2 linked regions of the Schizosaccharomyces pombe genome follow. Changing the gene in region 2 together with the main gene of any one other region gives a genetic interaction. Each region holds a gene or a part of one and is shown on either strand. Other genes may lie near its edges. The genes, in order: pzh1 and nhe1.

Region 1 (5,014 bases), 1.5 Mb from region 2:
CCAAAGGTCGTTTGTCAATTAAGCAGAGAGAGCTTGTTGCTAAAGCATTTGCTGGCGACGATGTTGTCGCTGAATTTGAAAAGGATAAAGAAGACTGGGTTCAAGAGGATGCACCGAAAGAAGAAGATCATAGTTTGCCCGGTTGGGGTTCATGGGGAGGTGTTGGCGTAAAACAAAGAAAGACTAAGCCTAAGGTTAAAAAAATTGCTGGACTAGATCCGTCAAAGCGGAAGGATTCTAAGCTAAAGCATGTGATTATTAATGAAAAACGCAACAAGAAAGCTGCTAAGCTTACTGCTGATAGTGTTCCGTTCCCATTTGAATCACGAGAACAGTATGAACGATCTCTTAACTTGCCTATGGGACCAGAATGGACTACTCGAGCTTCACATCATAAGGCTGTTGCTCCCAGAGTTGTTACCAAACGTGGTAAAGTCATTAATCCTATTAAGGCACCTAATTAGATTCTTATATGTACATTGAGTTTTGGATTTTTGTTATTAGATTGATATCTTTTGCAGTAGATTAGATACATTTGTAATGGATTTTGGGATATTGGGAAGAAATATATATTTTGAGGTAAATACTTTAAACAAGAAAAAAATTAATTCAATACAAATATATTAATATCATGAGGAAAATTAATTAAAATGGTTATAATTTACTTCGTTTTCTCCCGGAGTAAAGATAAGTGATTATAATTTGTTTCACAGCATCCACCGAGTATCAGGTTTCCATTATGTAGATTTGAGTATTTAGCCGTTATAGTTGACCATTCTTCAGGTGAAGGGGCAGGATGATCTGTTGAGCCAGGTGAAAAAGTACCGTCTGGATTTTGATACAACCCGCGGCCGTCAGGGTACAAAATAGCAGTTATGTTGGATGGTAAAAGACTGGATAGCATTTTTGCGATGGGTTCGAGTAAACTGAGGTGAAAGCAATTAACACCGATGCCCCATATAGAGTCATGATTGATGCTCAGTATCTTGGAGATAATGGACGATACTCGTTCAATAGTGCTGCGCTCAGGGCACGTACAGGTGATCCAGCAACGCTTAGACCAACCTTTCATATCTTGAATGAGTTGGCATACTACTTCTGCTTCAGTCACGTGAGGAAGGCTTTCAAATGCAATGAAGTCAATTTTTTCGAAAGCTTTAGGATTAGATGCTTGAATGGCTTCAATTCTGTTTTTATGAAAATTGTATAGCATTTCAAAATCGGTGGGTTTATCATAAATCATTTTGTATTCCATACATCCAGGAATAGTAGCAGCATGACTTCCGAGACATAAAGCAATATATTTGTTGGGCAAACCCAAATGTTCTCTAGCATAAACAGGTAACCCAATGCTGTTTGCGTAAACCTGTTTTAATGGTACACCTTCTACCTTTTCGTCGTAGATAGAAGCATCCAGTTGATAAGTGAAAGTACTAATAATGTCGCAAACTTTTAAAAATTCTTCATGATGCTTAACAACGATCTCTGGATAACGCACCAGTGCTTCAGAGGTCCATAATCTAGACTCAGATATACTTTCAGGAAGCTTTGGAAGAATGGCAGTAGAGCCACCGTCTAACATAAGCATTTTGGAAAACTCAAAAATTGGGAAAAATAGTTCAACGAACAGCAAAAATGGTATCTCAGGTTATACACTAGTATTAACAGATGTAACTGCCTTTTGATGGATATTACAACAGTTTAGAGAATATCGCACAATCAGAAACCCAATCGACCCAAAACAAAAACATTTGAGTAAGAATCAGACTAGTATATAACGTAACGCGAAATTTTTCCATATTTAATTTAACGTTAATTTACGTGGATCAATTGCGCCTTTTATTTTACTTTGGAATACACTGCAGTTATTATACAGTAAGTGCGCCATCATCGTTGCACCACACTAGATGGACCCAGCGAGTTCAGTTCTCGAGTAAGATGGAACGGGCTACTACGTCTATCAGATTTATACTACACTTCCCATCACTTGTTAACCCATTCTTCACCACGACCTTACAAATTTTTAAACGATTGTGTTTTGTCAGCAAAGCAAAACATTTTTATAGACCAGGATTACTTGAAGAAGAGAAAATCTACTAATTTACGGAAAATATCGAAAAATAGAAAAAATCTAGGTACAATTGGGAAACCTTTTAATTTTGGCACTAAATGCAAGCAACGAAGTCTCGATTTTGAAGTAAAAAAGAAAATAAAAATAGAACAAAGTGGAATAGTTTCCCGGAATCTACCATTAATTGAAATACAATGGGACAGGGGAGCAGTAAACACGCCGACAGCAAGCTCGATTCCTACCCATCCTTTTCTCGGTCAGACACTCAAGGATCCATTAAGTCTTTAAAGTCTCTGAAAACAGTCCTGGGGAAGGGCAAAGACTCGAATCATGATCGCCGAACGTCTACTGATACAACCCATAGTCGTCACCGGTATCCCGAAACACCACCAAGCCTTCCTCCTCCTCCTTCTCCTGGGATATTAGCTACATCTCCGGCTGTGTTGCAAAAGCATCAACAGGAGGATTCGGGAAATTCTTCTCAATCTCCGACGTCGCCGCATCCTTCTAACCAGCCTGCCATGCTTAGTCCCTCTACGGCCGCTTCCCAGCATCATCATCATCATTCTTCTTCTTCTTCTTATGCCGTTTCTCCAACATCACCTACCTCACCAACCAGCTCTGGCCCAATTGGCTCCAACTTTGATTCAGCTTCTGAGCATAATGGTCCTGTGTATCCACAAGATCAGCAGGGGCCCGTAATTATCCCTAATTCGGCAATTTCTTCTACGGATCCTGATGATCCTGAAACAGTTGTTAGCCTTAACGTAGATGAAATGATTCAAAGATTGATCCATGTTGGCTATTCTCGAAAAAGTAGTAAAAGTGTGTGTCTAAAGAATGCTGAAATTACCAGCATTTGTATGGCCGTACGAGAAATATTTCTTTCGCAGCCGACACTTTTAGAATTGACCCCGCCGGTGAAAATCGTTGGTGACGTTCATGGTCAATATTCCGATTTAATTCGACTGTTTGAAATGTGTGGGTTTCCTCCGAGCTCTAATTATTTATTCTTAGGCGATTATGTCGATCGTGGTAAGCAGAGTCTTGAAACCATCCTCTTGCTCTTTTTGTACAAGATCAGATATCCAGAAAACTTTTTCTTGCTACGGGGCAATCATGAATGCGCTAATATCACTCGCGTTTACGGTTTTTACGATGAGTGTAAAAGACGTTGCAATATCAAAATTTGGAAGACTTTCATAAACACCTTTAATTGCTTACCCATTGCGTCCGTTGTAGCCGGTAAAATTTTTTGCGTTCATGGTGGTCTTTCTCCATCGTTAAGTCATATGGATGACATACGGGAGATTCCTCGTCCTACTGACGTTCCTGACTATGGATTGCTGAATGATTTGTTATGGTCAGATCCTGCTGATACTGAAAACGATTGGGAAGATAATGAACGAGGTGTTTCTTTTGTTTTCAACAAAAACGTTATCCGGCAATTTTTGGCCAAGCACGACTTTGATTTAATCTGTCGTGCTCACATGGTTGTTGAAGACGGTTATGAATTTTTTAATGACAGAACTTTATGTACGGTGTTTTCTGCCCCTAATTACTGTGGGGAATTTGATAATTGGGGGGCCGTGATGAGTGTTAATTCAGAGCTGCTTTGTTCCTTTGAACTTATAAAGCCTCTCGACCAGGCAGCAATTCGACGAGAATTAAAAAAGAGCAAGCGTAGTGGTATGGCTATTTATCAATCTCCCCCTGCTGAGCAGGTTACCCAAAGCGTGTAAGCATTCTATTTTTTCTATTTTGGTCTCCATTTGAAATTATCTAGCGGTTTTATTGGGACACTATTTTATTCTCTTAAATGAGTATTATCTGTTATTATGTTATAGTCACTATGGTGATGGATCAAGTCCTTGGTTCACTTTATCGGTTCGAGGGCAATTCCATCCTGACACGTTTAGTATAAGTTTCTGTTTCTTTTAATAAAAACACAATCATTTCCATATAGTGACAGTTAACTTGCTTTTTATTTTTGCTAACCGACACCTGCTGAACATCGAAAGAGTAGGTAAAAAATTTACATGAGGAGGAAATAAACAATTATTATAGTATTATTATTAGCATTAAATAAATTTAAAGCGAAAATGTATCCATTTCTTTGTAAATCTTCTATCAATTACTAATCTCCCATACGATGGGCTTAAAACAACACTTTGAAAACTAAAGTTGAATGTGGTATCGTACTTAAGTACTTCTTTCCATGATCCATTTGTGATAAGTATTTTGGTTTCCTTATTGTATAATGAGTAAGCTACTTTTGTTGCATAATGCTGCCAAGTAGGCAGTTCTTTGATAAATCTCCTGCGTTGTTTTGTTTGTGTCAGCTTTTTCGTTCAATCAAGATATTTTATCACATTATTTCAAGGTTCAATGAATCATTCGAAGAATAGTAACGAATTCAGATATATTAAATAAAGGCACACATAATCTCTAAAGATTACAGTTTAATGGCTCTTTCAAAGTGTTTAGTAATATATACACTAAATTTCTAAAATTCAGTAGTTATGGCGAAGTGGCCGAGTGGTCTATGGCGCTAGCTTCAGGTGAAAGCAATTGCTAGTCTACGTATGTGGGCGTGGGTTCGAACCCCACCTTCGTCAATATAATTTTTTATATCATGTTAATGGAATTGAGAAAAAGCAAGCTGTCAGTTTATACTTTCAATGTTATGCAGAAACCGTTTTATTTCAATTATTTACACTGTTTGACACTACTAAAGCAGAGTTAATTGTAATGAGACATAACGGTACATGGTGCTTCGACTTTCATAACCATTAAAGAAAAGAAGAATGTCTTGATTTTGGCTTATTTAAAGACCCATTGTGACTGGAAAAACAAATGACCCTACGTAGTAAAGGGTAAAATGAATTTTTTTTAATTTTTTTTTTAGATTCAATGTAGAAATATAATCGATTATCAGATTCA
Region 2 (4,584 bases):
ATATTCTAGCTCATCTAAATAGATTGCAACTAAATTGGGAGCACCGGTTCAGTCGTACTTAGTTAATAACTGATCTAGGAGGAGATATTCAATACTTCATCTACTTCCAAAAGCTTTATACATACTTTGAAGCTACCTACTAATAGAAACACTATTTAAATATTACCAAGTCTTATAGTAGTTAGGCCCTTTGAAGTACGTTGATGTGTTTTAGTAGGTGAGATTTATCAAGTTTTAATTTGATTGCTATTTATATACACAAAGTAGCTATTGATTTTCCGTTTTCTTAGTTTCTTACATAAAATAGTATTAGTTTGTATAATTACAACAACAAATAATAAAATATTAGGTGATCCAAAGTAGACTTTGATGAAGCGTAAGGTGTTTCGTAAGATTGGTATTGTTTGAAGCGAACGAATATTGGTAAGTTTTAGCCATCAAAATAAATTACAAATTAAATAACGATTTGTACTTTTCTCAGTATCTTGATCAGTTTTAGAAATTATACAATATTTTTAGAGTAGTAAGAAAATAAATGAATTATAGAAGCCGAAAATTACTCTATTGTAGATAATATATATGTACAACAAAAATATACACTCCATCCCTGTTGGTGGTTAGCCTTGTGATTCTGAGAATCACTTATCTTATAGTATATATCAACTATAGAAGGAATTTCAAAATATGAGTGCAGTAATCTTTTTGACCAGAGACAGCGATTCACAATACATTTGAAAATAATTTGGAAATCCGAATTGACATTAAAAGAGCTTTCCTAAACGTAATCTTCCTGTGACTTATCAACCCCTATTACTTGTAACTCCAAATCGGAATCGGACTTGGTGACTTTTCGATTTAAATACAGACTTTTTAACTTTCCCCAAATCACTAATACATGGATACTGAAACCATGAACAATGATTGAGGATAAGATAACAAACGAAATGATCGGCCAAATTATTTCATTAAGTGTTGAAAATACTGTAGTTGATTCATAAATACTCTTTTCAATTTCATCCGGGGACAACAGTAATTTTGCAAGAAATGCCATATAAACTGCGCAAACCCCTATTGGTCCGAAATGTCCAACGAAAAGGGCTTCTTTCCATGTCTTAATGTCCGGAACTAAAGGCTTCACCGAAAATACAACCGGTAATCGACGACAAACTAGAGTCAATATGCTAAAGACAATTAAACGCCAAACAGGCAAGCCTTCAACAGACCAATTAAAATTATTCCAGGGAATGATTGTACCATAATAGGTAAAAAATAGTAAACTAAAAGTCTGATCAATAAAAGCAGGTACAGAACAAGCAGATATATTTTTGGAAAATAAATCATTCCAGTTAAATAATATTCCAGCAAAAAAGGACATCAACAGGTCATCAACTCCAATAATAGTTCCTATCCCAGAACATAATAAAGGTATCGCTAGCGGAAGGGAATAATAACTAATAGCATCAATTAAACGGTATTTCTGAGCGTGCTTTAAAATGAACGATAAAAGATACCCTATTACACACCCAAAAAATATACCAAATGCACATTCATACAACACAACAAGCAGCACCCAATCCCTCCCTGCATTCCTCGATGGCTTAACAGTAAGAAGTTTGATAGCAAAATAGAAAAAAGGAACCGCCATTCCATCATTACATCCAGACTCAGCGATCAATAAAGACCGAATCCGTTCAGGAGTCTTTTTAGCTAATGGACCTTCTCCTACAATCAATGCTGATAGAACAGGATCAGTAGAAGTTATACATCCTGCGATCAGCAAAGATCCTAAAAAGTTAATTTGTGGAAACAATGCATATGCAAATCCAGCTGTAACTAACCACCCGTAAGCCATAACTGGTAATAGCATTACAATGATGCTTCGAAAATTATGTTGAAAATATGCACCGGGGAGTTCTATTGCAGAAGCAAACACACGCACATCAAGTACGATTCTACAAATCTCTACTGTCAAGTAATCTCCATGGTCACCCCAGGAAAAAGGGTCTACGAGTTTAGCAGCATGAGGCCCAAATATTAATCCAGTGATACTTCCAAGAACTACACACTAGTATTAGTCTTATTTTATATCAATTGCTAATTTTCAAAAACCACCCTATACAATATCTTCAACGTACCAGCTTCTCCAACTAGTAATTTTTTTCGAAAAACTTCTGAAAAATAGCAGAAAAATGTTATAAATCCCCCGGCCACTATTAAAGCTAAATGGACTTTGTCTATATCAAGTTGTCTCCAGCCCATAGTAATTAGGCAATATCCACAAGAGAATGTTTTCTTGTAATAAATTCCTATAATATTTTTTTTAGAGTATTCGACATAAAATGTGGCAAAAGATACAGTTAGCCACGGACTGATGCGTGCATGCCTGTGGTTTATACTTGAGGACCGGGGTACCTTAGTTATCTTTTTGATTGGAGTAACAAAGCTTGTTACTTGGGTTTTAACGCTTATCAACTTAAAAAACATGCCTTTTAAGTAACTATTCAATTTTAAATTCACTGAGACTGATTAAGCACATTTGAGGTGGGCTGTTATATTATTTTTTTTTATACAATTTTAGCAGGATAGTGAATTGTAAATATTGTGCGATTGTTATACATCGTATGTTTATATAAATTTAGCACCATTAAATTGATTGAAAGGGTGTTGTGTACTCACTTGTAAGCTATTAATACCTCGGCAGCAAAAAGCTTTGATTATAACTTAGCTAAAAAGACCTGATTGGATTAAGGCATTTTATCTCAATATGACATAAGTGGCAATAAATCAAAAATATTGAAAATTCTTTCTATAGGATTTGATTACTAGTGTAACAGAAGTCAATCTTTTATACTACTTAAAAAAGGAAGTAGTGAGCATAAAACAAGCACTCTTGTAATTCAACCATATGTAGAGTTAAATTAGCAATGAAAAACTGTATGGGATTAACGAGAACGACGAAATTACACAAATATCCAGTTGACACGTTCTGTCAAAGGAATTGCCAGGCCTATAATCACATTGGTGGGGGAAACTTGTTAATTGATGAGATAACGGCCAAGGTATTGACTACCGAACACAGAAGGAATTTGGTATTTCGATTACGGGCAGGAGAAAAGTCATGAGCGAATGTTTGAACTTGTTCTTTTTCAGTGGACAATTTCTCCTCATGAACAACTTAGGAAGAATTCAAGAGCTCCTTTCATGTCAAATAAAACGAGAAACACTTTACGTTTAAATGAATCATTTGCTTTCATGCACAATGTGGTGGCAAGGTTAGTTACATAGACACAACCGAGTCTCACCCCATGAGTTGCAGATCCAGAATATAGAGCGTTTAAGGCCACTCGCTTACTTAATATCAAATTTCATACTATTTAGACTTTTATAAAAGACGATTTTCATTACTTCTAGCCTTTAAACAATAAACCGTTGTTATATATGAATATATATTATTTTCGCTGTAAAGCAAGCCTAATTTTTTACTTAGCTTGAACAAACGAGACTATAATTTGATGAGGTCAGCCCTAATCGTACCCAACAGATTGGTCACTGAATTTTTCGTATATTGTAATATCTGCCATTGAGCTAATTAATTTAAGAGGATAACAACCGAGACTTTATACAATTCTTTTTATTTTTTTATAGTAATAAAGAAATGTCATTTTTAAATATTTCTTTAAAAGCGCTGTTGATTGCATGTCATCTAGTACACTAGCTAGTTAACCCACTGTACCTAATGATACAGGATTGTAAACCTTATCAATTGGTCCAAAGACATAAGAATTTCGATAGTGAAGAGGGCCTGATATGTTTAATGAAACATGTCTTTCACCTAAAGTACGAGCTTAGCATCGTGGCTATAATATTTCTGAATGCACATTCATCATTTGGTAACGTAGCCTGATGGTACAGTACTAGAGTATCCAACGTACAAAGATTTATTTGGTACTATTACTGAACGTTTGTACTGCATTTCAGCATTCAAAAAGTAGGAGCTTCGATAAGCAACGCTGTTTGAATACAAGACTTATCTTGGCGGTGAAAAAAAGCTGTAAATGGCATTGCTAAAAATATGATATTAAAAAAAAAGCGAGTAGATAAAATGACCGATAAAATAGATATAAATAAATAGGAAAATACGAATTCTACTCTACAATTTTACTCTTATTGTGTAACAAATCACGCTGAAGTATCGCGGATGAGTAACTTGGCCAACTGACGCATGTATAGACAACTAAAGTTTATCTGCATATGTCAAAATGTTACTTGAAAATAAAAAAGGTCATAAACGAGCAGCGAAATTAAATCTGCACTTGCGAAACCGCGCACTATTATACTATTTATCTCCAACAAAAATAATTATTATACTGCTTAATAAATTATACGTTGCATAATAACAATATTTTCCATACAGCGTTTTCCCGTTCACTCTTTGCGGCGCCTCGCAAATAGCCAGATTTATATGAAATTGTTTATTTAAAAAGTCAAACAGAGAAAAATAAACATAGAACAAAACGCAAGGCGTACTACAATACGTCTTAAGTGTTGTAATCAACCTTGCAAAACATTATTTAACTTGTGCTA

Evidence for each region.
Region 1: of nhe1 (region 2) and pzh1, a mutation in one rescues a mutant of the other (synthetic rescue), as found in Schizosaccharomyces pombe (one study listed by BioGRID).

The regions. Positions count from the first base shown.
Region 1 is NC_003424.3:1,526,763-1,531,776, reverse strand, and holds pzh1 (serine/threonine protein phosphatase Pzh1), read left to right. Parts: upstream 1-2,004; 5' UTR 2,005-2,265; coding exon 2,266-3,813; 3' UTR 3,814-4,212; downstream 4,213-5,014. Other genes in the region: U3 snoRNP protein Utp14, read left to right, coding at 1-464; SPOM_SPAC57A7.07C (homocysteine methyltransferase), read right to left, coding at 662-1,588.
Region 2 is NC_003424.3:49,792-54,375, reverse strand, and holds nhe1 (plasma membrane/prospore membrane sodium ion/proton antiporter Nhe1/Sod2), read right to left. Parts: upstream 2,388-4,584; 5' UTR 2,260-2,387; coding exon 2,136-2,259; exon of another isoform or gene 2,059-2,135; coding exon 776-2,058; 3' UTR 518-775; downstream 1-517. UniProt on the Schizosaccharomyces pombe protein: Sodium export from cell, takes up external protons in exchange for internal sodium ions. Involved in regulation of pH.